Oreochromis niloticus: one gene and its partners. The protein of the gene in region 1 purifies or fractionates together with the protein of each later gene. This does not show direct contact. Links are inferred from orthologs where the notes say so. Each region holds a gene or a part of one and is shown on either strand. Other genes may lie near its edges.

Region 1 (10,207 bases):
AACATAGCCGATGTCTCGAAGCTGACATCTGTCCCGTTGAACTGAAAGTCATTGTTGTCTACACCTGGAGCCTCGATGCCCCCGCAGGTTCCGGTGCGGAGAGCGATATGGGCCTCTATCTCCTCCCTCGCCCGGTCTACGTTTTCCGGCATGCCTGTAACCTCGAACACTGGCTCTTTGTCCCGGCTCGGCGTCACAATGTAGGTGTGGGTCTGCTGCTGAATGCGTTTTATGGTTGCTCCTGAAAGATATGACCAGACCAGCTCTTTCACTCAAAACATGAGACACAGACGTCGAGTACAAAGACTCGATCAACGTTCTGCTCACTTTGCTACATGACTGTCCGTTATAGCTTAAAGTGGCTATAATATGTTCATTTTCGCTGTCATTATAATCTACATTACCCTGAGCTTTAATTCAGGTTCAGCCCCTCAATTTCACTCTTCCTTAACGCGAATAAAAACAAAGAGTCTGAACAGGAAGTGGGTGGGGCTTAGGTCCTCACAGTCAGAGGAGTGAGATGGCTGTATTGGGAATATACCCTCCCCCCTTTGACATCACACAAATACAAAAGTAGAAAAAGGTGCTTGAACAAAAGTGTCACCTAACCTTAACCTCATGATCAGAAACTTTGTCCATGTTTAATTTGAGCAGCCACCAATATAAAGCAAACAAATGGCACACATTCATTTTTTAATAGCTGGTGGTAAAAATCTCAGCTAAAGTAATAATAGTCGATCAAAATCTCAGACTACAACACTAACAGCTCTGTGTACTTGTTTATCTTTTAATAACTGCAGCTTGACAATCTGACAAAACAGGCCAAGCTGAGTCACACAGAAACTGCAGTCACAGCTAAATACTCAAGATTTTAGTCATAACGACAGTATTGTGCATTTATGGCAGTTACACTTTTTTCTTGGTTGTTGTTTTTTTTATAGATTTTTTTTTTTGTTTGGGCAGGACAGGAGAGAAGCTGGGAGAAAGACAGACATAATTCAAAAGCGGGCCTCAGCATTAACCTTGTAGCATATGCATCACCGTTGCTCAACCCAGTGAGTCAAACCAGCGCCCCACACTCAGTTCTATTTAATCATTGTGTGTGTTGCTTTGAAAATGGAAACAGCACAGCTGTGCAATAATTACAGTGCTCAACTACAGGCTGGCCTACTGACTCACCTGGCTGAAATCCACACCACCTGACCACAACACTGAACTCAGATCTAATGTGGAAACCTTATCAAATGACAATACTGTGTTTTTAACCAAGAAAAATATCCTGGAGTGCATTTTGTTGCTTGTAAATACTCCACAGCACACTTCTCGACTCTGTGTTTGTGTGACGCAGTGTTTCCTCCTAAGTTTTCAACTCCAGTGACTCTTTTTGACACGTCACCACTTCCTCTACAGGTATTATCGCAAGGACCGTTGCAGGTTGGTTTAACACAAAAAAAAAAAAAAAAAAAAAAAAAACACAGCCCAGAGCTATTTGACACACAGCTGGTAATGTCAACAGGGCAAAGAGTTAAAGACTCCAGTGAGCAAATCATAATCAGCCTCAGGGCTTTTTCACACACAGGTGCTAATGTGTACAAAGACTAGCTAAGAGCGACAGGGAACCTTCTGGACTTGAGCTGACGGATATCAAGATGCAGAGGCTTTTAGAAATACAGGATATCCATTAGACAACACAGAAACAGAAGCTGTTAGATGTGGGGCCTGATAGCAGAGCTACAAATCTGTGAATAGTCCCATAGTGTCTTGCCTATATCATCCAAAAAACACTTTTAGTCTGCATCTGGGAACATGAAATTTGTTTTTCTGACTCTTTTTGTCCTAAATTGCATGTTTCACACCTTTCCTGCCATCTATGCTAAAACAACATATAATTAAGCTAAAGGGCAATTCGGATTTTTGTTTTAGAGACTTTCTTTAGAACTATGACTTCCAGCAGTTACATACATGCAAACAAAACAAATTAAATACCCACCTTTAGGACCCACAACCAACCCAACAACACGATATGGTACCCGCACCTGTACAGTTAAAACGATAAAGGTTAGCTATACACACTTTAAAATACAAAACACAACAGAGAGCCTTATTTATACAACAATTTTGCCTGGATGCTGACACTAATAACACCGAGTCATCCTAACGGTTGTTCTCAACCCCTGAATGACATTTTTTTTTCCCATTTAAAGTCAAGCTTGCTGACCTGAATGGTAGTCCGTCCAGGTAAAGCCGGAGTCCCGAGGCTGGCTCCTGCAGTAAGAGGGCCCGTCCTGTTCCGAGAGGCTCTGATAAGGGAAAAGTGCTCAGCCGCAGACAGGATCTCCCTTTTAGCCATGGCCACATCTTCTTTACGTCCTGTCACAACAAAGACTGGCTGTTCCCCCCTCACTGGTGTCTTAATGTAGGTGTTGGTCTTGGCTCGAAGCGCCTTGATCTTACAGCCTGTCACAGGGACAAGTTAAAAAGCACATAAAGGAACCACATTAACCTGCACAGATTCAACATTAAACTCTTGAAACTCTTCATCTCCTAATAAACTAATGAACTAATAAAAGATCATGACACAAGCACTACAGCACAGGTCTCCAGTCATTAATGCCACATAAAAGTTGCATAGCTTATAAATTAAATATTCCATTCTGCAGTGGTTGAGAGTCCAGCATCATTACCAGAGCCATTTCCTGTTGTTGTCAACACCGCAGTCTGTGCACCATCCCCCAACTTACTCTCAAACATAATCACACTGCCCTACTAACCCAGCCCAGCCATCTATGTAAAGTTTATATAAAACAAAGACCACATATAAGGGTCTAAGAACATCGAGGGGATATTTAGCTGTAATCATATCGGTTATGTCACGGAGCTAACTATAACCTGCAGCTGATGTGGCAAAGGAATGGTGTCCGACACACCGGCTGCTCTTTATGCCCTCTCCTCCGAGACAAAGCCCAGGCTGGTTTAGCACAGCAAAGCACGGCTACGGGGAGGCTCACTGACAGCATACCCGTGATACAGGCGAGCTACTGCACCGAGGCCACAGAGTGGGTTCTGGAGACTAATAAAACTTTAGTTGTAAACTTTTTTCAGGGCGTTGGGCGAGGGTGTTGTTGTTGACCCAGTTTGAAGGGGGAGGAATGCTAAGCTAGTAGCTGAGTATGCCACTTTTCCTCGCGACAAAAATATATATTTTTTTAAAACTATAACTTAGTTTTATCTCGTTGCTTTTCTGTTCCACGTCTTTAATTAATTAGAGGATAAAATCACGATTCTTTAAGTTCCTTTATTTTGCCCCTTATTTCGGTCCTGCCTAACTCTTCCCACAAAGTTTAGTTTAAACTCCGTTAGCACCTTAACGTTAGCTCCACAAGCAGTCGAAAAGAAAGCGACTCACCCTGCCTGCCCACGATCTCCGCGACGTGCTCCGAGCTCGGCACGGCCACACACTCGGTCGTGTTTACGCTCTTACGCCGGTTCAACAGTGATGTCTCGGCCTCTCCGTAATCCGGCTCCCCGAACCCGCCGGACGGTAGCATCGTCATGCTGTTAGCCGGCGGGAGAGCGCCGCCGACCGCAGGATCGTCCCGCTCGTCTCCGTTGTACAGCAACACAGTCTCGATGTGCTCCATCCCGGAGCTAGCCGGCCCAGAAAGGAGGTGTTGGTTGCGGTGGTGGGCCTGCGTTAGCAACGAGGAATCGGTTGCAACTAATGGCTCCTCCTCGTCCTCAGCCGCTGCCGTTTTGTTCATTTCGTCTCCTGAGGGCGGACGAGGCAGTGGCAAGGGCTTCAAGTCGAGGACCGTACCGAGGAGGCTGAAATGGGAGACCGAGGAGAGCGGGAGATGGTGAAAGGGGAGGCTCTCGTCAGCTAGTTCGGGCGTCTGGCTGTGAGCGCCGTGCTGCTCGTCAAGGCCCATACCGGCGAAAGCGTGCAGGAGCGGCGGTGGGACCTCGGACTCTCCCTCATCGGCCTCCAGCAAAGACGTACTACTCGGCATGATGCAAGTCTTTTATTGATATTGCCGGTAATCGTTATGAATAATGAATGAAATTTATTTGATTATAAAAAATAAAAATAAAAAAGCGACCAGCGCCTGTTCGTTGAAATGTGTGGCTTTGTTTTGTCTTACGGCGCTCCTCTTCTCTTCTTTATTGTGGCGTATTTACAGCTGGCTTTCGATCATTTGGTGCATTACTGCCCCAAGTGGTATGGAGTGAAAATTACGACGTCGAGCCAATGATTTCAACATTCAGAAAAAGTTGAATATTTTAATGGTGGTCCAATGTGTATGATGAAAAAGTCGTCCCCCGTTCCTTTCCCTACACATACTTTCTCCCACTTTCGTTTAAACTCTAGTCTTTCCTCTTAACCTTTGACTGTTTTTGATAACTTTCATTCGACACCTGCTTCATAATGCATTTGATATATTTCCTGCTTAAGCCAACCATTAAATCCATCTGACTGATTTCTGTGGCTTGTTTTGCTTTCACTGCATACACACTGCTTGTTCATGTGAAGCTTGTTTTCAGGGTGAGATGCAATTTCACAACTATCAGGAAGATGCACTCAACATGTATTATGAGGGGTGTTGTGTCATGGGAATATTAGAATGATACAACATCTGTGGGTGTTGGCATGAGTTACACCCCCAAAAGTGGTAAATGAGTACATGTATATTAGATGTGAGAGAAAGACATTGTGGTGTTTTCAGTGTGCATTTTGTTGGTATAAAGATCGAGAGATAAATATAAATGCTTATAGGGATGGGATGTAAATGTATAATGAAGGCATGGAGAGTTTTTATTAGCAAGGCAAGAGGAGCCTAAAGATCGATGTAAGTCTGGCTCCTTGCCATAACATCTCTAAGTGGAAAAGTGCAAGGGTTTGAAGACAACTGTCCTCAACTTACATTTAAAAGGTAAGCCTGCTATGAATAGAATGATATAGTTTTGTTTTTAATTCTTACAAAGCACAGCAGAAATACTAATATGTACTCAAGACCTAAGGCAGTAATACCTTACCAATATTTCTTTTTCATGATTTCAGGGGTTACTTTGTAATGTTCAACTCCAGCAAAAAATTTGTTAAAAATAATTTTTTTCTATATATTTGTTTTAAACACACAGGGAAAGAAGATTATTAGCGGGCACGATAACCTTTAAAATTTAAGTCTACTACAAATTGTGAATGAAAACTATCCACTAATATTTAAGTCGGTCATTCATTTTTACACCATACAGAAAGGACCCAAAGTAGAGCTCAAAGTAGTTTGGGAAAGTGGTCTAAATCCAAAATGCAACTGAGACAACGAGCCAAAGTGTTGTTCTAATAATAAATGAAATCAAAATTTTCCTTTCAACAACCAAATATACTTCTTCACACATTCATCCACATACAGGTACATTTTAAAGATTATTTCACACCCTTACTCCTTATATATTGTGCCATTATATAAAAATAAATGAATATAAAATTTAAGGTACAGTGTAATAACAAAAATAATAAGGAAATAAACAAACAAGACAAATCAAACAAACAAAAAAAACATGTTTGGTTGCCAGAATGTGACGCCGCCATAGGGGTTAAATATCCCAAATGTGTTACTAAACATTTCATGTGTCTAATGAAATTTAGTTATAAGTAACATAATTGTAACCACAATGCTATACCGATAGGGTTTAAGCAGCATTTCTACTCCATTCAAACTGCGAAACATACTTCACTTTCATTTTAACCGGCGGCCACGTTGTAGCCCTGGATTCAGGTAATAAAAGGGAAGATACGCTTTGCTCACGCGTACGTGGTTGTGGCCCACGTGATGTCACAATGGCTCCTCCTTTTATGCTTTTCCACCAGTGCGAGCAAGCAAAGGCGGGCTTTTACGGATGACGACCAATGAGGTGTGTCGTTAGTAATACGCGTCTTAGTATTAGTTGCATCCGGGTGAGGACTTTGGGGTGAGTAGGTAATTCTAACTAAAACATAATATAAAATCGTAAATATTTGGATTTATTTTAACTCCTGTTACTACTTATGTCCTAATAAAACAACAACACAGCAACCATTGAAACATATTACAAATTCCGAGCTTCTTTCTTTCTCTAAAATATAAAGACCAGCTAGCTCGCTAGTTAGCTTTAAGCTAGCAGCTAGCCGCTTATATCAGTGTCCGGGTTTTCCTTGTCGGTATTTTCGCCACCTTCAGTGACGGTTTTAGTTTTTAATCTGTTGCTTTTACAGTTTTTTTTCTTAGAAGCTGTCGGCTCTCAGTCTTCAGGATGTACGGATCGCTTCGGGTGTTGCTGCAGGTGCTCTGGGCCCAGCTGCTTTGTGGGTGGGTGCTCGGCTCCGAGCTAACTTTTGAGCTGCCAGACAACGCTAAACAGTGTTTCTACGAAGACATCATCATGGGCACCAAATGCACCCTGGAGTTCCAGGTGCGTGTCTGTTATTTCCATCCCTTGCATCCATGCGAATCATCCTAATCGGAAGGTCGTTTTTCCCCCCAAATTAAATCGAGTCTAGATTGTCCTCTTGAAATCTGTATCAGGCGTCAAAGATGAAAACCCAGGGACATGAACAGCTCTATGTGCATGTCTGATAAACACTAGAAATGTAAACTAGCTCAGTTACTCTACTTCTACCTGAAAGATCTTCAGGTAAATATTTAAATTTAATAAGAGGTGTCCAGGTAGCACCAGGCCGAGTTATGAGTAATAAATACTATTAAATGATCTTATTCATTATCTGTGACATGTGCCTTAAACATTTGACTAGAACTACACACACACACACACACACACAGGGTGTACAACAAACAGATAGAAGAAGTGGCTGATATTGAAAGATTGTACCAATGCCTGGTTAAAGTTTGACAGGGTAGACAGCACCGAAACACTACTCATGGTAGCACAAGATCCTTAGAGGCCGAGGCCTATCACACAGGCTGTGCAAAGATACCCCAGATGTAATCCAGCACATAACAGCAGGGTGCAAGATGCTATCAGGCAGGGCCTACATTGAACACCATAATCAAGTGTGTGGCATAGTATACAGGAACATCTGTGACGAGTATGGCCTGGAAATCCAGAGGTCAAAATGGGATACACTCCAAAGGTGATTGAGAGTGGCCCAAGCTAACATCCCGTGAGACCTCCAGACGCAGACGAACAACAAACTGGTGATGGCTAACCAATCAAACATAATGTCCACATGGTGGACCATCAGAGGAAGAAGGCCATGGTGATGGATGTAGCTATACCAAGTGAATCAAGAAGAAGGAATACAAGAAGCTGGAGAAATACCAAGGGCTGAAGAGCCCACAGGGCGAGTGGGGAATTATTGTACAAGTATTCATTAGGAGCATAGTGTTGTGTGATTTATTTATTTTTTTGATTTTTTTGATTTTTTTTTTTCTAAAGTGCAATAATCACATACTGGTGCTTCAAGTGTATTTGCCAAAAAAGAGAAAAAGTGCAAATAAAGATTAATCTGGGTGTTTGTTTTTATTTTTTACTTGTGTGCATAATTATCGTGTAATAACAATCTGATGTTGAGGCAGTTGTTTTTAAACTCTGTTTCTACACTGTGTTCAGATTAATTTGCACTGACACTGAAAATATGTGCAGGACTCAGACATGAAATTGATAAAGACTCTGACCTGTAAGCAAAAACGCTATAGATATTTTTTTATTTTTTTTTTAAAAACAAAAACTTTGTCAGTATCCATCCTACCCCTCCTTGGCTTTGTTACTCATTCCTTCTGTGCTTTTCATTCCCAGGTGGTGACCGGTGGTCATTACGATGTGGACTGCCGTTTGGAGGACCCAGATGGCACAACACTCTATAAGGAGATGAAGAAGCAATATGACAGCTTTACCTTCACAGCAGCCAAGAATGGCACCTACAAATTCTGCTTCAGCAATGAGTTCTCCACCTTCACGCATAAGACGGTTTACTTTGACTTTCAGGTTGGCGATGACCCTCCACTCTTCCCCAACGAGAACAGAGTCACTGCTCTTACTCAGGTAAACTGTGAGGATTCACACAAAAACCTGTTAAAAGCCCGTTTCTCTCACTAATGTTTGCTTCATTGTATTTATTAGGGCGAAATAACCTAAACGGTTCTCCTGTGTTCATCCTGGTTGCAGAAATAAACCAACAGAGTTTCTTTAAATTAAAAGCGCGTAAATCCTGGTGATAAATAACACAAAAAAGCAGAGCAGCCATCTTACAAAGTTGTTTTTTTTTTATACAGATGGAAAGAGTCACCAGACAAGCTTTGTCTGTAAATGAAAACTCGGTACTGTGGCTACTCTCACAAGATAATATCAGCTAAAATAAGGCTGAAATTTGATGATGTAGCAAGACAGTAATCCTAACCAGTGATCTACCAAAGAACGATTTTAAACAAAGAAAACATCATGTTTAGAGAGACCCAGAAAATGACCATTTGAACTTTGTGTGGAATTACTTCAAGGAGGCCGATTACATCCTAAACATATGGCTGAGCTGGAGTGATTCTTTCAAGAATAATGGGGGGGAAATTCCTGCTTCTGCATGTGCTTCTGGAATTGTTTGACCTTATTGCCTTTTTGTGTTTCATTAGATTTAGTAAATAGTGGTTGTCAGTTAGGGACAAAACTAAAGGCAGAAAAAGACAGCGAGACGTGGGACGTTCAAATACTGAAGTGGAGAGAGAATAACATGTCTGTTCAGACAGACTAGAATAAGCACAAAATATCAGCTGCCTACTGTAATATTAGCTGAAGAAATATAATTAAAAAGCAATGCTTAAACCACTGTTGCCAAAAACTACCAATGATATAAATACAAGCACCACCCCTCCCTTAAATGACAGCCTCATATATGCTAGCCGTGCAGATTTAATGTTCCTGGTGGATGAATTTAGTAAATATTTTCAGCCATCTTCAAAAGATCTAAAATCAGTTTTGTTTTCCAATTTTTCACCATTTACAGATGGAGTCAGCTTGCGTGTCCATCCATGAGGCTCTGAAGTCGGTGATTGACTATCAGACACACTTTCGCCTCCGTGAGGCCCAGGGACGCAGTCGTGCCGAGGACCTCAATACCCGCGTTGCTTTCTGGTCCATCGGAGAAGCTATTATCCTCCTGGTGGTCAGCATCAGCCAGGTGGTCCTGCTGAGAAGCTTCTTCTCTGACAAGAAGACCACGACAACACGTGTGGGCTCATAACAGCCTCTGAGATCTGACTCATCACTTCCTTTGTCTGTTCTTGGGCTTGTGTGCATGGAGTGCATAGGAACAGCCGCACTGATCTGTAATTGAATCATATCAAGCGGCCAGGTCGTACAATCTGACTCGGCTACTTAAATCAGTACAGCTGTTCTTACAACTTTATGCAAATTAGTCTTGAGGAGAAAAAATAGTTGTGGGTTTTTGAGGATTTAAAAAAAAAAACAGGAGGAAGACTTGATTGTGTTGCTTGTAACTATCTGTATTTGAAGCAGTTCAAGCACCGGCCATATAGCTAAAGAAAAACTTTAAGTCATTTGAATATTTGAAATGATTTCTAAATGTGTTCTTATTTTAAATGTGTCCTTTTCTAACCCCTGTCTTCATGATCTGTTCCACTTTTCATCCCAAACTGCTCTGAAATAAGCACCCGAGTGGACACTGGGACTAAATGTAGTCATATTATAATGATACTGCGGATATTTGTCTTTATCTGCACTAGCTCTCAAAAGCCGCACTCTCAGTGCGAAGGTTGGATTTGTTTATGAAAAATCTGTTGCATTTTTTTCCTGTGTTACTAAAACTCACTTTATTAAGTGAGAAATGGTAGATGTGTTTTTTGTTTTGATCAACTTTGCCATTTTAGATAGTAGTTAGAAAGGAGTTTGCTGTGCTCTGCAGAGAGTAAGCAGTCCTTTAATCCAATATTAGTTTGACACCCTTTGTTCACAAGGTGGTTGTTGGGTTGAAGGATTGAATTAAAATGCAGAAGTTATACCACGAGTGACTGCAAACCCTATTCCTTAAAGAAAATCTCGATAAATTAAAACTAAGTCTTTTCTTGTTTCAATTTGCTCTCTTTTACGTTGGGGAAATGTTGGTTGGTTTAAGTGTGAGGACATCAAGGTAAATTATAACATATGGGATGTAGGGTTTTTGGTTTTTTTTATTACATCTGTGTGAATCTGTGGCAGACAA
Region 2 (9,914 bases), on another chromosome or scaffold:
CCTTAAAGTTAAAAAACTAACTCACTTTGTAATTTGGAGCAAATCATGAGTTTGTGTTCAAGACACATCTGAAAACTGTACAAAAATCTTAACCCCCACTGGCATGTAAGAAACCCATGGATGGATCCTGTGAAACAGCATGGACAAACTATGGTAGCAGGAAAACAATAAAAAGTATTTTTAGATTTAACTGCCTTAGTGCAGATTAGTGTAGGATGCCGTTAATGAACAGTTCATTCTCTGTCTTGCCTTGACGAAGCTGTTAACGGCCATTATAGCCATATCAGGCTGGCTCTTGGCGTAGTTCATCAAGTAGAGGTACACCAACTTCTTCAGCTCCAGGTTGTCAGTCTGCATGCAGTTGACTACATCTGGGAACAAAGAACTGAGAGCAAAGCAAATTGACTTCAAAAATGAGTACTAGACAATGTTGCGACACTGTCGTGTTCTCTCACACTAGCTGTGAATTTACTGCATGAGTAACTGTGCTGAACTCACATCAGTACAAATCGGCTTAACAGACATATCATACAACTGTACTATGACTACTTAATGTCTGTAAAGCTTTAGCACACTGTGAAAAAACACTGTGTGCAAAGTGATCATCCCAAAAGTCCAACAATGATGTCTGAATAGCCTGAAAGTGGTAAAAACGTCCTTTCGTTCACACTTTTACTCCCTGATTTCTGAGGCTACTAATCAGATATATAAAAAGAGTGAAAGTAGCCAGAGCTCCAAGCACCCTAGCAACTGCTCTCTCCTATTTTTTAATCTCTGCTACTGTGTTCTCTTCATTTGCAATGACTGATTTCCTTGACCGATGGCAATCAATAGCAAAGCAGTGAGCCCTCTGAACAATACTGAGACTTTTATTTACTATTACTCTCTTAGCAGCACTGACAGTTCCAGGAACATATCCTGGGAGTTGGCAGAGAACAGCGGAAACAAAAGCAGAGCCGGAAACAATGACCACATATCAGTCTACTGAGGATGAGACTAATCAGCTTTCCAAAAGCAAAACTCAGAGTTAAATATCAGCAGCTGAATTACTTTGGAGAGTGAAGGACTTTAATCCAATGGTCTGTTGGTCAGTGAGCACAACACTACAATTTTCTTCTTGTTTAAGATATTCGGTGCCAACACATAATGCAACTGAGAAATCACAGAAGCCACGTCACTTTGATTTGCTTATCTTATCACACTGTTATAATTATAGACCTGTGTGAAGCATGTCATGAACACAGTTTTGTAGTAGGGCTGGGCTATATCATACCGTTCACGGTAATACCGGTGTAATTTTGGGCAACGATAGCAAAATGAAATATCGCGATAGAATGTGGGTAAAACGCGCATGCGCAGTGCCTATGTTTACATACGCACATGGCGGCGACGCAGAATGAGAAGAGCGAAAGTGGATCATTAAATGAAACGGATGAAGCAGAGTTGGTTTGTAAAAATGCTGCAACTTCAGTGGTGTGGAACTGGTTTAGCTTTCGTCCGTCAGATACACAACAAAGCACTATTTTTGGTAGCACATGCTAGCGGGCCGTCGTTATTACCGTGTTGTTTGGAAAATACGGCACACTTAAAATCAATCCTTTGATTTTTCTGAAAATCGACAGTGCCCCTTATAATCCCGCGTGCCTTATGTATGAATTCTGGTTGTGTTTACTGACCTCGAAATGATTTTATGTGGTACACGGCGCTCAAAAATCTGTCAAATGTTTTAGTACGACTTTGCTAAGCTACGAACCCACACCGCTTGATGGATTGTCGGAGCATTACGGCTATCGCAGGCAGGAGCCTCGCGGAGTGATACGTACTGTGCTTCAACATAATATTACCGTATTGTGTGTGTATAACCTCTTTTTAAGTTTTGTGGATATTATACATGGTTATGCTGAGGATATGTCGGCCAATTTCTACTGGAAATGGCTTTTGGTTAAACTGTCCGCAAGGAATTTGCAGTGTTACATTTTTATGTAACTTTAATGCACATAAAAAACAGCTGCTTGTTTAAGTGAAAATACATTGATGGGTTTCTTTTTGCACTAATAAAGTTGTGGAGTTGTAAAGTATTTTGTCTAGTGTCAATTATATCGTCAGTTATATCGTTATCGCAAATTTTCAAATGTATATCGTGATAAATATTTTTGGTCATATCGCCCTGCTCTATTTTGTAGTATACCTGACATCTTTGCCAACAGTCATGGCAGCAATGACCTTCTTCACTGCCTCTTTCCTCTTCTCCTTCTTCTCATTGTTCAGCTCTGCCTTCAGTTCAAAGATCTCCCCTGAAAGATGAATCAGATGAAGAGTTGAAAGCAGTGCTGTTTATATATACACTGCCATAAATTTCCAATCTCTAACATGCCCACATGAACAAAAAACAATTTCTCTTCCATACTCACCTTTTTTGTTTGTTGTGAAATATTTCGAGTCCGTCATGACTGTTGTCCTTTAGTTCTGTAAAAAATAAATAGATAAATACATTTAAAAAATATTACATAATCATTCAGTGAGGCTTTAATATACAATAACAGTCTGTAGTACCTCTTCTTCCCTGATCTGCCATATGACTAAGTGATGTGGTGACAAGCCACAAAGTAGTTCAATGAGATTCAGTCATCAGGTTTGCCTCCAACATAGTACACTGTAACAGTCAGTAATAAATCTAAAAATTTTACAGGTTTCTTCTATGACAGACCAACCTGATGTGTTTAGTTTCTAAATGAATGTATGAATAACTGCTTTACAAATACACAAGGTTACACTACAAGTATGGAGAACACCCCTTTCAATAAATAACTGAGCAAAATCCATACAGCAGTAAAGTGGCTTCATGACACTGGTTTGCATGGTGATGTGGAAATGAAAGCCTAAGAGCCCCAAGCAAAATGCCAAATATTAGCTGGAGTGGTGTTAAACACAACCAGTGGACTACAGAGCACTGTAATCTTATAGTCTGGATTCATTAATTAGGCTTTATTTTCAGGCATTGTAATGGAGGATCCTGGGTTTGGCAGAGGTTAGGAGAACCATTTATGTCTGAATTATACACTCCCTACTGTTTTACAGAGTATATGAAGTTCTAGTAAACTCTGAAATAGGCAACTTAATTTTATCATAATGCACCACACTAGGGAAGCACCAAATGCAATTTTATTATGTTTAATTTGTTTTTGTTATTATTCATTCCCCTTTCTTCTTCTTTCAGATGATTCCTTTAGGGGTCACCACAAAGGATCATCTGCCATCCCATCCCTAGCATCCTCCTCTGTCACACCAGCCCTCCTTCGCTAAATGCATGGATTTTATTTTTTGTATTTTCTTTGCAGTCTTCCTCTTTTCCTCCTGTCTGGTAGTTCCATATTCAACATTCTTTGTCTGGTATATCCACTATCCCTCCTCTGCACATGTCCAAACCACCTAAGCCTTGCCTCTGTAACCTTGTCTCCAAACTACTCAACCTGTGCTGTCCCTCTGTACTTATTTCTAAACCTGACCAGTGTGGTCCGAGCATATTGTGCTGTGACAGCTCCAGCTTGGCCTTCCATCTTTTTGTCAGTTCCACTAGAGCATATCTCTGCCTCTCCAGGCTCTCTTTCACCTACTCCCTTGCTTCAAGCTCAACTGCAATTTGAAATATAGTCAAGCAAAATGCCTTCTGGAGAAAGGTTTTATGGTCAGATGAGACAAAGATTGAGCTATTTGACCACAGTGACAAGAGATATGTTTGGAGGAATAATGGTACGCCTTTCAAATCTAAGAACAGAGTGCCAGCTGTCAAGCACGGTGGCGGTAGATATATTTACCAATTCTGACGAGAAGAGCGGTCAAATGATCAGCAAGAATTATGGCTGAAGCTTGTTGATCGCTACCAAAAGCATCTGGGGAAGATGCAACTTACTAAGGGACACTTAACCAAATATTAATGGGGGTTTATGTATATATTTGAATCTGTGTGGATGAGAGAAAATCCAACATAATTTCAAATTTTTGCAGTTATTAATGATGTAAGCTCTGCAATCATGCAAACCTGGAAAAGAATTCAAAGTTCAGAGCAATCATTAAAAGCACAAACATATGATATCGATGTCCATAATGACTGTATGTAAACCTGTGACCACACATTTGTGTATCTGTACAGCCCTAGCTAAAACATGCTATTACATTGAAGAAAACGTACTTAGGGTTACATGTTAAAGAATTAAACCTTTACTTTAGCCGGCATTAGCCATTTTCTTCATCTGTATGGTGAAGAAGAACCTACTCTAATCTAACTGTGACATTAACTGCTCTGTGTTTCTGGGTGTGACGACGTTTGACCTCTCAACAAACATCAGGTTAGCTTTAATTAACCGGGAGGCACAGCACTTCCACTTAGCTAGCGTTAGCTAGATGCTAAATACATCCGCTCCCTACTGCGATACCACAAATATTAACAACAAACTCCAAACACAGACAACTTCTAACATCAACCTGGGTTTACAGTCCGATATGACAAGATTGCGTTATGTTAAATCTGGAGTCAAAATAGAAACGTGAGCAGCGGCCCAGTTTCCAGGAGCTGCCTTTACGGTAGCTAAACGATGAGCAGCCCTGCAAAAATACAGTCGATACAAAATCACAACACAATGACAGCAAGGTTAAAAGAAGGTCCTGTACTGTATAATATCGCCCATACCTTGCTGAGTATACGTGAGAAGAGAAAAATATTCCACTGGGTGTCAGACGCAGGCTGCTCCTTCGTCTGTTTGGAGGAAGATGGAGAACCAGGATAACGATGGTGCATTCACACTCATCGGAAACTGGACAACTTCCCTTCTGAGGTAAAGAATACCAGGATGCGTTGTTGCAGCGAACACATTTCGTTGATTTTATAACGGCTGTTAGTAGATGTTTGTATAGTTAAGATCTGCGAATATAAATGATGTATTATATAAAATGTATATGCAGATCCAGGAAACCACAACCGGCAATGACATCACACGGTTTCGAGGTCATGTGGACAAATCGGTCTGCAGGGTTTATATTTTCTTTGTAATTGGATTCACAAGCAAATATAAATCAGTGCAAACTTTTGTATTTAAAGGGGAAAATTACATTACATAATAAATGACTCCATATGACGCCACGGTTTCCTATTATCATGAATGCAACACTGGAGGGAATTCTTGGTAGGGACCTCGCCGTGTCCTCACAGCCAGGAAAAGAATTCCATAATATCAGCGTTTCACCTTCACTGTACAGTCCTGCCTTTTTCAAAGCAGTTTCAAGTCAGGGGCTGCAAAGTACTCCCCTGGGTCTGAACGCAGCCCAAGAGTTGGAAAAAGGAAGGATACTCATGTTGATGTGAAATATGTTCAGTGCCTCAGGCATGAAGGAACATGTTGAATCAGACGGGTACATTTTTGTTATGTTCAAGTCCTTGAAACATGGAATTCTTGCAAAACACAGACTCTGTTAGGTACCATGTATCCGATGGTCCAACAAATCAGACGCGGTGTATATGATCCCTTCGATAGCTCAGTTGGTAGAGCGGAGGACAGAAATTCTTGGGTCACTGGTTCAATTCTGGCTCCAAAACGATTTTACAATTCAACTATCTCAAGCACATGTGTCGAACTCCAGACTTGGAGGGCCGCTATCCTATTGAATGTAAGTCATCTATTAAGATGCTGAACTGCACTAAGCAAAACCTGTGCTTCAGTGGAAAGGACCAAAGTGATTCATAGAGCATGGAAACTTTGTAACCCCCCCCCCCCAGCATTTTTAGCCCTCAAACTACAGAAGAAAACCCACACAAAAACAATATTTTCTCAATCTGAAAAGACAAGCGCCCCCCCAAAAAAAGATTTAAAAAAATACTTTTACATACAATCTAGACTGTGTGAACAGCTTTAAACTACTGTATGAATGCCCCTAAATATCATATACCAAATATAAAATATAGTGCATGAAGAAAAAAGATTTAGATTTTTTTAAGTATTTAAAGATAATTGTAATAGTTGATATAAAATGTTTATATTACAACAAATATGACAACTACATTGATATTTGAAGTAACCAATAGAAAATATAAAACCAAACTTTCAAAACATTACTTTATATTCACAAGGTTTTAAAAGCCTCAGTTAACGCCAACAATCGGACCGTTTATTGAAATCAAATATAAACCGTGACTATAAAAAAAAATGCATTGCCAGGTACAACCATACATAGCAGGTATAATGGCTCTGCTATCTATTAATTACCAGCTTCACTCATATTGTAACTTCATTAGTACACCATCCACTATGTTAGCCATAAATACAACAATTAAAACATTGAGACATGATTTTCCTCTTTGTGAGAAAAATTCACTTATATCACAGCCAGTGATAATCTATAATCTAAACTTCAAAAAAAACAGTAACAGCCTCACTCCATTTTTCAGACTTAAGCAGAGGATTCGATTTGTAGCTGGGATGCGCTGCTGATCAGGTCTTGTGGAAGACTTTTTCGGGCTTCTTGCATCTTTTTCCTGGCCCTCTGAAAGGCCTCTGCAAAAGGAAGAAAGTACCAGTCGAATACTACACACATACAGAGAAGGCTTACATAGCAATTTATAACAAATACACACAGAAATAACAAAGGAAAAAAAAGGTTAACTGTTTTCTTGATTTTACATATTACTGGTATGAAATAATACGCTAATGTTAGTCCACATTTTTTAGCTCAGAAAACAAACCAAGCTATAACCAATCGATCCATATCTCACATATGTCAGACTGAAGTGCTGAAAGAAACTTGTATCTCAGTGAGTCGATTTCCCACAGGGTTTAGCTTTCAAACTTATCCATAGCCTAAGCTCAGTGGGTCCTGAAAATCCAGACTTCTTACCCAGGATGGTGCAAACAGCTCCTTGCTGACTAAATCCTCCCAGCTGGTCAAAAACTCTCTGCCTCCTCTTCTTCAGCATGGCAGTATCAACAAAGGCCCTGCACATGAAATTAAAACATTTCCTGTTATCACTGATTATCATCTGAATGCAAACAAACCGAGGTTTGGGGCGATCGTGGCTCAAGAGTTGGGAGTTCGCCTTGTAATCGGAAGGTTACCGGTTCGAGCCCCGGCTCGGACAGTCTCGGTCGTTGTGTCCTTGGGCAAGACACTTCACCCATTGCCTACTGGTGGTGGTCAGAGGGCCTGGTGGCGCCAGTGTCCGGCAGCCTCGCCTCTGTCAGTGCGCCCCAGGGTGGCTGTGGCTACAACGTAGCTTGCCATCACCAGTGTGTGAATGTGTGTGTGAATGGGTGGATGACTGGATATGTAAAGCGCTTTGGGGTCCTTAGGGACTAGAAAAGCGCTGTATAAATACAGGCCATTTACCATTATATTATATTATATTTGCAACACCTGCATTAACATAGAAATAAAATTACAGTGTATTGTGGGACTGTGAAATAGGAGACAGTTGTGAAGTTGTAGATTTGCTGCTGTGTTGAAACAAATAAAGTCTAGCCACCAAAGAAATGTGATTAATCTATAACAATGCAGATAATGTAGAGCTTACCAACCATACAGGGAGTGCAGAATTATTAGGCAAGTTGTATTTTTGAGGAATAATTTTATTATTGAACAACAACCATGTTCTCAATGAACCCAAAAAACTCATTAATATCAAAGCTGAATGTTTTTGGAAGTAGTTTTTAGTTTGTTGTTAGTTTTAGCTATTTTAGGGGGATATCTGTGTGTGCAGGTGACTATTACTGTGCAGAATTATTAGGCAACTTAACAAAAAACAAATATATACCCATTTCAATTATTTATTTTTACCAGTGAAACCAATATAACATCTCCACATTCACAAATATACATTTCTGACATTCAAAAACAAAACAAAAACAAATCAGCGACCAATATAGCCACCTTTCTTTGCAAGGACACTCAAAAGCCTGCCATCCATGGATTCTGTCAGTGTTTTGATCTGTTCACCATCAACATTGCGTGCAGCAGCAACCACAGCCTCCCAGACACTGTTCAGAGAGGTGTACTGTTTTCCCTCCTTGTAAATCTCACATTTGATGATGGACCACAGGTTCTCAATGGGGTTCAGATCAGGTGAACAAGGAGGCCATGTCATTAGTTTTTCTTCTTTTATACCCTTTCTTGCCAGCCACGCTGTGGAGTACTTGGACGCGTGTGATGGAGCATTGTCCTGCATGAAAATCATGTTTTTCTTGAAGGATGCAGACTTCTTCCTGTACCACTGCTTGAAGAAGGTGTCTTCCAGAAACTGGCAGTAGGACTGGGAGTTGAGCCTGACTCCATCCTCAACCCGAAAAGGCCCCACAAGCTCATCTTTGATGATACCAGCCCAAACCAGTACTCCACCTCCACCTTGCTGGCGTCTGAGTCGGACTGGAGCTCTCTGCCCTTTACCAATCCAGCCACGGGCCCATCCATCTGGCCCATCAAGACTCACTCTCATTTCATCAGTCCATAAAACCTTAGAAAAATCAGTCTTGAGATATTTCTTGGCCCAGTCTTGACGTTTCAGCTTGTGTGTCTTGTTCAGTGGTGGTCGTCTTTCAGCCTTTCTTACCTTGGCCATGTCTCTGAGTATTGCACACCTTGTGCTTTTGGGCACTCCAGTGATGTTGCAGCTCTGAAATATGGCCAAACTGGTGGCAAGTGGCATCTTGGCAGCTGCACGCTTGACTTTTCTCAGTTCATGGGCAGTTATTTTGCGCCTTGGTTTTTCCACACGCTTCTTGCGACCCTGTTGACTATTTTGAATGAAACGCTTGATTGTTCGATGATCACGCTTCAGAAGCTTTGCAATTTTAAGACTGCTGCATCCCTCTGCAAGATATCTCACTATTTTGGACTTTTCTGAGCCTGTCAAGTCCTTCTTTTGACCCATTTTGCCAAAGGAAAGGAAGTTGCCTAATAATTATGCACACCTGATATAGGGTGTTGATGTCATTAGACCACACCCCTTCTCATTACAGAGATGCACATCACCTAATATGCTTAATTGGTAGTAGGCTTTCGAGCCTATACAGCTTGGAGTAAGACAACATGCATGAAGAGGATGATGTGGACAAAATACTCATTTGCCTAATAATTCTGCACTCCCTGTATAAGTACTATATATCTCTATTAAATGTTGGGTACAATACTTAAAAAGTTTATTACTTGTCATAAAAACAAGAAAACAAATATTTTAGAAATCTGTCAAACAGCTGTTTAAAACTAAAAATCAAATTCCTTTTTATTAGACTGGAATTCGTGTTTTCATTTCATTCATAATAATAATAATAATAATAATAATAACAACAATAATAGTGTGCTTTACTATTTTCAAAATATTATTTCGATTAAATAGCTCACATAAATTTTGGTGGTTAACCATTACAAAACATTAGAAAAGATTGTGGTAATTAACAATACTGTTCATTTAGGGCAGCTGTGGCATAAACCTTACATTGGGTGGTGATGTAATAAATTTGTTAGGCACACTATGCACTACTTTTTTGAAGCCAGGCTTTACTTACCTGGCTTGCTGAATGCAGTTGAGATTAAAAGTGACACTTCCTGTGGTTTCAGTGCAGAAGCCAAAGCGACTCAGCCTCTCCCCCTGCAGCCACACACAGACATACAGACATATTAGAAATAAAATAAAATAAAATAAAATAAAAATGATCATATTTAACATAACATAAAACATGTATATAAAACTAGAGGGTTAAAAAATGCCTTCATAATCGTACCAGGAGTTAAATTTATCCACTGCATTTGTAAGGTCTCAAGCATGCACACATTGCTTTTGATAAAGAATAAATGTAACCAGAACTTATGTTAAGTTGTTGTAAGGTACATTTAAATGTTTAACAGATTGTAGTTTAACAAATAAGTCATTCCCA
Region 3 (10,741 bases), on another chromosome or scaffold:
TGTGTTTAGTCTGTTCTTTGAGTTTCTTGTGGCGTGGCTGTAGCTCAGGTAGCAGAGCAGGTCAGCCACTAACCTGGGATCGAACTCGGTGGTTCGATCCCAGGCTGCTCCAGTCTGCATGCCAAATATCCTTGGGCAAGATACTAACCCCATGTTGCTCTCCGATGCGTCCGTCGGAGTGTGAATGTGTATGAATGTTAGATAATTAGCACTTAGCTTAGAAGAAGTGCTTGTGTGATTGGGTGAATGAATTAGTTGTGTAAGCGCTTTGAGTGCTCAGACAGAGTAGAAAAGCACTATATAGGAACCAGTCCATTTACCATTTTAGATTTCTAGCTCTTATCTTTTGCCATTTTCTCCTTGGGTTCCTCAGTTGTTAACTTTTATATTATAACCTTGAATCTTTTAGTTCTTAGCTTTTGAGCTTGCATTTTTTTCAGTTTGCTGTAGTGTTCTGAATACTCTCTTTTAGCATTTTAGGACTCGTCTGTGCCACTGCACAATGCAACAACTGCACATTGCTGTATTCAAGCTGTAGTTTCTTTCACTGTGTTGTATTTTTAAAAAAAATTAATTAACATATAGCTTGTATGGGGCCAACATGAATACTGGGCTCGTGAATTTGTAAGTATTTTAACTCTTAGATTAAATAAACTACTCTGTTTTTAAAATGTCTTTATTAAAATTTTGTGATTCAATTTTTTGTATTCATTTATATCACTATTAATATATAGAATGATATATCTCTATATATAATTAATATACTATATATCTTTCAGTCTATTTTGCTGTTTTTCCCCATTGTTTTTATTTAACAAATTCTTTTTAGCTTACATACTCATTTTGACTACAAGCAATAATCTAACCTATTTCAATGAGTGCAATAATAAAGGGAAACAAATATGGTTTAGCTCTATATCATTAACATAATTAATATGCAGCAGAGTCATGTAACTACTGGAATCTTTCAGTCTTGCATCTGCTATTTAAAAAAATCCACATTGCTTAGAATTTGGTTCATAAATTTTTTTTCTTTGATAGTTCTCAACTTACCAGTTTTGAAAGCGCTCATTTTGGAATTTCACCTGTAAGTATGACACAACAAGAAAATGGATCACATAATAGAAAAAAAGACCCCAGCTCATTAGCCACAGGGTGGCACTCTAGGCTAAAACCTTTCATGTGCCATTGGTATTCTCTATGCTCCATAATGAAGTGAACCAGCAATCACAGTTTTCTGCCATCTGTATACTTATCATCAGCACACATATGCACTTCATGGACTGGATTTATGAGCTTGCCTTGTTGGGTTTGGCGTCTGTAGTAAATCAAAAGTTGTGTTTAACCCCAGACTCAAAAAAATTAAGCCTAAACTGGTTAGTCTTGATTTGTACCCACATTTGGGACACACCCACCCACAACACACCTTCTCCAAGCACGCCTTTGTCAGCAAAACCATGAGCTTTTTAAAGGCGTGACAGGCCACAGGCTATTGATGATAAAGATTGCGGCCTTTCATCTGCACCCTCCACGATGAACATACATCATAAACCTCGAGGTAGACTTACAGCCTCGACAGAAGTTATAATTGTAAATGGCATATTGAACTAATGAGTGCTTTTTCTCATTTTTTTATGTATTACTGGATATTTAATTATCTGATAGACAAAAAATATATATTACACAGTAAAACAGACTGGTTCATCATCTAGTTTGTAAAAGATGATTTACATGTTTTCAGATAATATCATAAAACAGATCAAATCTCTCATCCAGCCAGTGGTTTATCAGATCTGATCTGTACACTAAAAAAAATGTTTATGCCCAAAATGCTGACTTTAGGTAATTTGATTACATGTAAAACTTCCATGTCATTTTTAGTTACACAAGTACAACTTACCGTAAAATGTTACATTTAATGGAATCCGATCAAATGAATTTCACTTGATTTTATACATTCAGCTTTTACCAAGCATATTCTCCTTGATTATGATTAATTTTTTGAATGAATAAACATTTTGATTTAATCACTTTCAATCGCATTTTACTCAAAATAATTTCTTCATCGTTATTTAGGGTGATTTTTTTGAGCGTACACCTGCAAATCAGTCTGTTCTGACTCCTCTTTGTATCTGTAAGGTATGCATTATGCATTATTCCCTCAAAAGAAGTGCAATCTGACATGAACACTACAATGATATCATTACATAACCTGACATACAGTGTGTTCTCTGATTTATTTTCCTTTATGCCTCAGTGCAAAACACCACCTCAAAAAACTCGTCTCATATACAATCTCAATTTATCATGTGTATTTTTAATACATCATTACACACAGTTTCAGCTAAAATAAAAGACTGATAAAAGATTCCCACACAGAGAGAAAGGGTACATACCTCCACAGAAACCTCTTTGACTTGATAGAAAACTCTCACTTCAGCTCAGGTCTCAACACCTGTCTGTCACGCTACACAATCACACCCTTGTCATTCCTTCTGCTTTAAACCTTAAGGGAGTGGAGATTCAAGGCCACCCACGGGCGTGGCTTTACGGAAGAATCAGAGAATAGGCTTTCTCTCTCTGTCGTTCTCATTCTACATGCTTCTATCGCCGTCATCAATGTTTCCTAATTGCTTGTTTACCAAGAAACATGGAACTGGGTGGAGTGCTGAAAGACTTGCAGCTCAACTTGAGTGATGAGGAAGCAAACCTGCGACGCGGGTGTGGGATTCTCTCTGTCCTAATCCTACTACATGCTTGAACTTGCATAAATATATTTTTAACACTAGAAAGTAATCTTGGGATACAATGTAAATAGAAGATAGAAATATAAAGCGTGCACACACAACAGTCACTTCATTAGGTACACTTCTAACCAAATGTATCCAGTCTGGTAGCTCTGCTATAAATTCCACCTATTAGGAATTCTCTGGATTTTTGTTGATGTTGACAGTAAGGTGATAATTCTATTGGGGTCATGAGGCTAAGAGTGTACTCGGCTGCCTGTGATTTTAAATGTAAATGCTCTCTGCGGTGGTGTTTTTGTTACATTCAGCTTTGCAGGTAGACTAAATGAAGTGGCCTGTGGGTGTATTTGAATACTTTTGGAGGCTTTTTAGCATTTAGTACGACAGTCGAGAGTAAAGCTTGGAGACAGACAGCAAATGGCATGCTGCCTATTCAAACCTGAGCCTTTGCAATAGCCCTACAGCTTAGCGTAGGGAGCTCAACCAGAACCCTGGTTTTTATATTTAATGTAGATTTCTGAAGGAGTTGCCAAAGGTACCAGTTATGCCAGTTATGTCCTTATCAGTAGCAAAAGCTGTAAAACCTACAAAGGTACAGTTAAAAGTTCAAAACTGGTGCCTTCCTTCATTGGATTGGGGTCTCCCCTTAGGTCTTATGTTTGAACCTCTGGGTGGATTACCTCGCTATATAACCATGTATCAACATCCCCTTGACTTTATAGCACTTTGGATGGGAGTGGATAATTTATACCTGTATAATAATAAAAATACTTGTTATCTAACATCACCGAGGTCCAATAAAATTTCATAACAACTCAAACTCAGACCTTATGCCTTTGATGTCTGGTCGCAAAGCAGCTTGGCTACTGATGACTGATTAGGTGTTTCTGCTGCCTTAAACATTTAGACTTTGAACGAGATTTCTTCTGATATCGCGTGTAGTTCAGCGGATTAAATAATGTCTCCTGCCAGCCAAACCGACATACCTGACTTGCTCAGTGACAGACTTGGGAGGTCTCAGACCGATGCTTAAGAATGTCAAGTGACAGTCAGACTTGAAGCACGAATGTCGCACTGTCTGTGTGTGAGCTTGATTATTGGGAGTGCCGTCTTTTGAATGGTCATAGGTATGAAAGGTGCATAACATCCATGGGTGTGACAACACAATACTGATAGGTGAAATCCTCCTAGTCACAGCGACAGTACGAGAAGAATGCAGGCTTTCCAGCCCTGCATTAAAGGTTAAAGCAGGCTGAAGCAAAGATTTTAAAAGATACATTTTTGAAGGAAATACCCTCTCAGCTATGATTATGATTTGTCTTTAACTAGCTGAACTTGTCTGTATATTAATGAGCAGCTTGAGAAGCCTTAGATTCATTTCCTTAGAGTTCGAGATTCCTCTGCTCTCTTTACAGACTTTACAACATTTAAGTAAAAGATCAACACTGGGTGGCGCTAGGGCTATAATGATAGAAATTATTTTCCAGGTTGCTTAGCTACGTGGAAATATATAAATGTAAGACAAGTTGCTCAAGGCAAAACGTGTCCTTAAGAGTTTACTGTTAGTGAGTCAGAAGAAAAGAATAAATATAACCTGTGCTATCAAGATGACTGAAAGAGTTAGTTGTAAATATGAACTGTCAATACCAAACAGATAAATGCAGAAGCTACTTTCAGCTGCCCCTTTAGTCACAAAGGGTCACCCCAGCAGGTATAGCTCCCTGTATTTGATTTGGAAGCTGGTGCCCCCACAAAAAACAATTTAGCTGCCTGACAAAGAGCTCAAGTTTTCCTTTATAGTATGGTGCTGTAACATGCAACAACTGCACTATTTAGAAGAAATACAATTGGAAAAAATCATATAATAATGCAGTGAATGCATTTCACTCTAATCCGAGCAATCTGAACATAAGAGGTTTGAGTCAACATCAGCACTTTCATTCAAGCATGAATGAGGCACATCGATGTGTGCGAGGAACCAATTAATTTCCTCTCCAGTCATGTAGAGAAACACATTAGGAGTCATTAGCTGCCATTAGAAACACAGTCCTACTGGGTTTTAGATCGTTAATATTCTCAATGAATGAAAAGAAACAAAATACGATAGATGCTTGAAAAAGATTACCCACGTTTGAAACTAATTGCTTGAACTTTAAACACCACATTTCATCTCCCAGGATGAATGAAGGCTGACATAGTTCTATCCATATAGTTGATTTTGTCAAGGCACATTATGTCAGGTCAATACTGATGATGCTGAGACACTATGATATTAAGAGATCAGGGTTATAACCTAAAACGTAAAACCTAACAACCTACTTAGACTCTAATAGTAGCCTCATCTCCTGTGTGTGTGTGTGTGTGTGTGTGTGTGTGTGTGTGTGTGTGTGTGTTTGTGTGTGTGTCTGAGGGGGCTGGATATCATCTCTGTCAGCTCTGCTCATGTTTGTGTCCTATATGGACTTCCACTCTGCCCAGGCATCCCTGCCCCTCCTCCCTCTATTTACTGTAACTGGCCAGAGCTGAGAAAACCAGGGGTTAATAAGGGAGCAGCCTCTGGATGCGACTGCATCTTCAATACCGAATCGTGCTCTTTTCATAACCTGCCACGTAGAGACCATTACAACTGCTATGATGCACTTGAAGAGAGCTGCTTTTCACTTCTAATATTTCACATGACAGCTGTGAGAGCACAATTCTTCAGGTTTTGTCATGGGAGATGCATGCTTGCACTCTGACACTGATAATCTCTGAATGCTTTCTCGGTTGCTATGAGAAGAGACAGCAGACCTACCTCTCTCTTGTCATTGGGCCATTGCAATGCTGTGCAGCCAATAAAGCACCACTAGGGCCTGTGTACCCCTTTGTCATTCTTTCTCCCTCTCTGTCGCCAAATAAATGCAAACATCCCTCCACATGCACAGACATTTAAAAGGATGCAGCCAAGCATGTTTGAAACATGACCTGCTAATTGCATCATCCGTTGCTATATCACACACTAAAGTATAAGCACCTGTTTCCTTGTAAACCTTATACTGCAGTAGGGTGTTTTTTTGGCCTTTGCTTCTATTTTGATGTTACCCAACACAGTGTTTCTCCTTTTTTTTTTATTATCTCTCTCTCCCTGCAGCTCCGCAGCTCCCCCTGCACCCTTGTGTCACCCTTTAAAATATCGCCATCACCATCGCAATCTGGGTAATGCATAGCTGACGCACTTCGGTAGTGTGCAGCTTTACTCTGAGGCAGTAATGAGAAGCTAAAACAATCACACTCAGTGAACAATCCCCCCACAGCAGCACGGTGAAGATCAATTAACAGGGACGGCAGATCGATAACTGCAGTCCTGGTGCCAGCTAAGGAGAAGTTCAAGAAGGTAGATCAAAGGGCAGGGTTCACAGCTACACAGGGTTCACTGTGTAAATGGAGCAATGCTAAACGGAATAGTACAGCAAACAAAAAAAAAAAAAAAAAAAAAAAAAAAAAAAAAAAAATCAAAACAGTTTTAAAAATATGCAACTCTGTTTTTAAAGGTCACTCTTATTGCGGACAACGATTCCAAGAGCAATCCATCTGTGCATGTGTGTGTGCCAATTTTAGATCAACCTGGGAGGGGCCCTTGGTGTATTGACTTCTACAATTTAAATGTCCACAATCCAACTGTGCACAGTGTTCAAAAAATAGCCCTGCGGGTTTGCCTTTGATCTATGAGGCCGTCCTTAGCCTCGACGATTATTTCTCTGATGTAATAAAAAAGAAAGAAAGAAAAGTGAACTACGCATTTGCAGCGATTGTGTACACAGAGAGGTAATTGATCAGCTAAATCAATGATAGCATCGCTCGGTTCAGACGTATGAAAATATCCCGGCATGCTGGCGACGCAAGGCTCGGCCAGGGAGGGGAGGGATGATGGAGCTAAGATGGCAGCCCAACTGAGGGTGCTGCCTCTCCGGGGTCAAGAGATATTCAAGAAACGAAGCAAAAAACGAAACTCGACAATGCGATTTTTCTAAATGAATGCTTTCGTTTCTGCTTTTTCGCGAGAAATTTCAGTTATGGTTTGAGAGGATCGTCATTGGAGTCGAGCACCGTGTTGACGCTGCGGCCGGATCGCAAGACTACACTGGTTTTTTAGCTGCACCACCAGATTGGCTACAATTTGCGCTTCTAACCACTGAGGACCGTGGATGCTCGTTGTGGTTTTTTCGCAGCTCGTAGCCGACAAATGATGTGACATGTGGCGGATACATCGACACGTGGATTGCGCCTGATGGCTAGAGATTATCTGGCTGTGATATCTTTTGTGTAATATATACATATATATGCATTGTTCTGCAAAACGATGATGTGTGCTGCTGCGGCAGCGGCCGCCGGTGGTGGGATTCTGCCCTCCTTATCGCCGTCGATGGGGCTGGGTGTCAGGGTCATTTCTGGAGCAGGAGCCGACCTCTCCACCGTCGGTTCGGGGATGGGTTCTTGCCCGACACCCGGAGTCCAGTCGGATTGTCGGACTCGGTACCAGCTTTTACTCTCAGGACGAGCCCTGGCGGAGAGATACAGACGGATTTATACCACCGCCATCAACGATAAAGAGCAAGGGATAAATCAAGGAAGGTGAGCGGATAAAATGAAATCAAAAATATCACGGAGGCTGGGCTGTCATTTGTAGGGCTAACTAGGCTAACGAAGCTAAGAGTAACCCTTGCTCAGCGGTGCGTCAGTCAATACCAATGAGCTAACTTCCACGCATATTTCTTATTATATATGGTTTTGGTTGCATCTCATTCTTTGTCACACAAGCGCATGTTTTAACTACGGGTAGTATGTCAGGAACTCCATAATTTGTTTGCGGGGTTAGCTTGCTAGGTAGCAATTTTGACTTCGACTTCCTTAGCTTATGGGAGCCATCTAAGCTAACGTTACGTTAGTTCACCCTGATGCGAGGGCTTTGCACTCCCGGTGCAAACTGCTTCGGCTATGAACTGACACACTGCAACTAAAATGCAAGGTTTTTCTACTCGAGACATGTCCACTCGAGAAAAACCTCTCCGTGGGGTGGATTCGCGTCCAAAACGAGCTAGCCGGCTAGCTGTCATGGGAGTAGTTTGTGATGTTTTGAGTGAGGTGCGATCCGGCTAAATGCAAACATGCGCCCCACTTGTGTAATATGTTTGTTTATTTATGTATTTATTTATTAAGCCGTCACTTTACTTCATTGTCACCCATTATTACCGGTTAAGTAGTGGTGTTGTGTGTCTAATTAGGCCCAACGGCGTCATTGTGAGCTAGCTATTCGGAGCATCCGACCTTTCACCAGGTTACCTTAACTTAAACCGGTTAAAGGGGGAGGAAAAAATTCACGAGGCTGACTTTGGCTTGTTGTCTATTAAAAATAAACAAACAAACAAATAAACAAACAAACACAAAACATTAACTGCTTATTGCTACTGTGCACACACTTGTTTGAAACGTGAGCCGTGTTTGGGTGAGGATGTGTAGGGAAGTGGCTGAACTCATTTGCTGTTCTAGCATAAGCGGGTAATACACTTACGTCATTCTAGTCAGTCAGATTGTAGACTGAGTAGCTGGATCATCGCTGCATCCTCCCCTCACAAATCCAATTGCTGTTTTCAGTGTGTACAATGGTTGCTTTAACCAAGGGCCAACATAATGCTGAACGCTACTCTGTTTTTATAAACAAATGCTGAATTAATTGGTGTATTTGAAGGAGCAGGCAGAAGAAAATCGTCAGTCTGTCTAGTTGGTTGCTCATGTCCTTTTCAACTAACATCTGCCACTAATTTGCTTATTTAAAAACTCATAGGCATGCTCAGTTGGCCTGTTTTGGAAGCTCTTTGGAGAAAGTTGGTAAAAAGGAGTATCTGGATCAGTCTTGATTGAGACCTGCTATTATGCTATTTGTATGGTGCTGGAAAGCAATATTCAGCTATGCTATTTAGTTTAAAAAAAAAAATAGGACACTTAAAACTTGTAAATCTTTTATAATGCTTTTTCTTGTAGTGAGTAACTGTGGTTACTAATTTTAGTGGTGTTTCTATTTCTAGCTTCGTATTACATCTTATTGACAGGTGGATTTGTAAGAGAGACTGGCCACAAAAAGCCATTGCAAAACAGATTTAAGTGACAGCTCAAAGGCATCAAAGGGGAATTTCTGCAGAAACAAACTAGTGCCTATTTTGGGAAGGTTTGATATGAGAGGCAACAGTGAATGTGAATTTCCTGACGCACTTATGGCGGTTAAGCAAGGTGAACTGCGCTTATAGATCTCCGCTTTGCTCGCTCTGCAGAGTGAAACAAAAATGAAATCGACACAGCTGTGTGGGACGTTAGAAAGAATAGAAGATTTTGACATTGAAATAGTTTGAAACCTTGCATGAAGAAGAAATGTTTACCTTCCCTCATGTCTGAAGTGTTCCTATGTGCTGTCTCTTTAAGTACAATTTTGACCTTTGCTTTAAAAATAAAGTGATCCAGTTGTGCCCATTTCATTTTTACACTTTCACCTTTGGATGATAGCTTGAGCAAGCTTTCTACATGGTTTGAGTGTTGACAAGAAGTCCAGCGTTTTTGCTAAAAGAGAGCACAGTTTTGCAAAACTAACTGATCACTGTTTGCTTCCAGGGGAAAGAAGGCATTGAGTAAGAAGAAACTTAAAAGGCGACAGAAGGTCAAGTCAAAAGTCAAATCAAGAACAAAGGTAAGAGATGCTTTAATGTCTAAAAGCTGTTAGGCAATATTAAACTTTGACTTGGACTACCTTTGCTGTATTTGTAAATCCTTATTAAACATTGCTACTACTTTATAAAAAGTAGTAGCAATATTCTAGTAGGAAATAATCACTCATAACCCTCTCAGTCCTCCTTAAAATAAAGCTTAATTGTATACTTTATGTACTTAAATTTCTCTCCTCGTGTAAATGAAAACATCAGTTTTATTTTGTAACTGTCACGTTTGCAAATGCGTTGATTTGTCTTTTGTAGCTGGCTTGACTGTATTGAACGAATTGAACAGATTAAGGATGAGATTAAAGGCGAGATTAGCTCCTCTGTTGTCTGGAGGGTATTTGGCGCAAATGTTGTTTTCGTTAAGTCTGGGTCGGTCGGGTGCCAGTAAGCCCGTCCGCACAAGAAGCTGCGTGGTGGATAGGCAGAATGAGAGACACATGGGAGTGGCTCTGACTTGTGCATGATGGCCTGTTGCCGAGCAACCTAATGTGTTCCACATCTCCACGGCAACAGTTGCCTGCTTCAGTCTCCTCCTTCCAAAGAGGGATCCCAGCCTGCATCAGAGGATGCTGTTGTTTCTCTTTCAGGTGGAGACCTCGCAGGGTCCTAAGATTTATAGGTTTTAACCTTGGACTGCTCATCTTTTTTTTGTACTACAAAACCATGAGTACCTGCAGTCTGCCTTTGATGCTGTTCAGTCCCAGTCAACTCGACTTAAATTGGTGTTAAATGCAGACAAATCTCAGTTTATGCTGTGATCAAATGGCAAAGAGTTGAGAGCTATCTTCACCCCCCTCACAGATACGTGGCCTGGTTCTCATGTATCTGTTTCCATAGATGTATAAAAACAGTTGTTTGAGCTGCTGTGGGAGAATGAAAGTCATTTAAAGGGCTTGTTCTGCTTCTCAAGGAGATGGTCTTAAAATGAGTTCAAGTTAAATGGGTTTTTTTGTTTTTTTTCTTCCCTTGACCTTTTATTGCATATAAACTGCATTCTGTTTGTTTGCTGCCCTCTTGGCCAGGTCACTCCTTTAAAAAAAGAAAAAAAAAAAGAAAGAAGGTGTGAAACTCAGTGAGACCTTCACGTGTAAATAAAGGCTCTAATAACAAAATCTGCAATAAGCACAGTCACCTTTGATTATAATGTCTCATGTTATTTTTTTATTTTTTCTCGTGATTGATAGCTTGGTCTCCTTTCATGATTTCCCGTATTTGTATTTATTTGTTAGACTGTTTTTAAAATTAGTTTTT

The links.
Region 2: the proteins of RNA-binding protein MEX3B (region 1) and ap2b1 purify together in Homo sapiens (affinity purification with mass spectrometry; 4 studies listed by BioGRID and IntAct, with this or other methods). This does not show direct contact. The link is inferred for Oreochromis niloticus from reciprocal best matches to the Homo sapiens genes MEX3C and AP2B1.
Region 3: the proteins of RNA-binding protein MEX3B (region 1) and mycbp2 purify together in Homo sapiens (affinity purification with mass spectrometry; 3 studies listed by BioGRID and IntAct, with this or other methods). This does not show direct contact. The link is inferred for Oreochromis niloticus from reciprocal best matches to the Homo sapiens genes MEX3C and MYCBP2.

Annotation. Positions count from the first base shown.
Region 1 is NC_031977.2:21,260,800-21,271,006, forward strand, and holds the start of RNA-binding protein MEX3B, read right to left. Parts: upstream 4,451-10,207; 5' UTR 4,011-4,450; coding exon 3,407-4,010; intron 2,458-3,406; coding exon 2,219-2,457; intron 2,037-2,218; coding exon 1,991-2,036; intron 242-1,990; coding exon 1-241. Other genes in the region: tmed7 (transmembrane emp24 domain-containing protein 7), read left to right, coding at 6,292-6,450, 7,795-8,040, 8,993-9,229. UniProt on the Homo sapiens protein: E3 ubiquitin ligase responsible for the post-transcriptional regulation of common HLA-A allotypes. Binds to the 3' UTR of HLA-A2 mRNA, and regulates its levels by promoting mRNA decay.
Region 2 is NC_031975.2:24,343,855-24,353,768, reverse strand, and holds the start of ap2b1 (AP-2 complex subunit beta), read right to left. Parts: upstream 4,843-9,914; 5' UTR 4,688-4,842; intron 2,467-4,687; 5' UTR 2,449-2,466; coding exon 2,412-2,448; intron 2,295-2,411; coding exon 2,189-2,294; intron 386-2,188; coding exon 250-385; intron 1-249. Other genes in the region: tectonic-like complex member MKS1, read right to left, coding at 6,442-6,545, 6,886-6,983, 9,546-9,628. UniProt on the Homo sapiens protein: Component of the adaptor protein complex 2 (AP-2). Adaptor protein complexes function in protein transport via transport vesicles in different membrane traffic pathways.
Region 3 is NC_031987.2:22,597,367-22,608,107, forward strand, and holds the start of mycbp2 (E3 ubiquitin-protein ligase MYCBP2), read left to right. Parts: upstream 1-6,614; 5' UTR 6,615-7,086; coding exon 7,087-7,358; intron 7,359-9,386; coding exon 9,387-9,462; intron 9,463-10,741. Other genes in the region: scel (sciellin), read right to left, coding at 1,054-1,072. UniProt on the Homo sapiens protein: Atypical E3 ubiquitin-protein ligase which specifically mediates ubiquitination of threonine and serine residues on target proteins, instead of ubiquitinating lysine residues.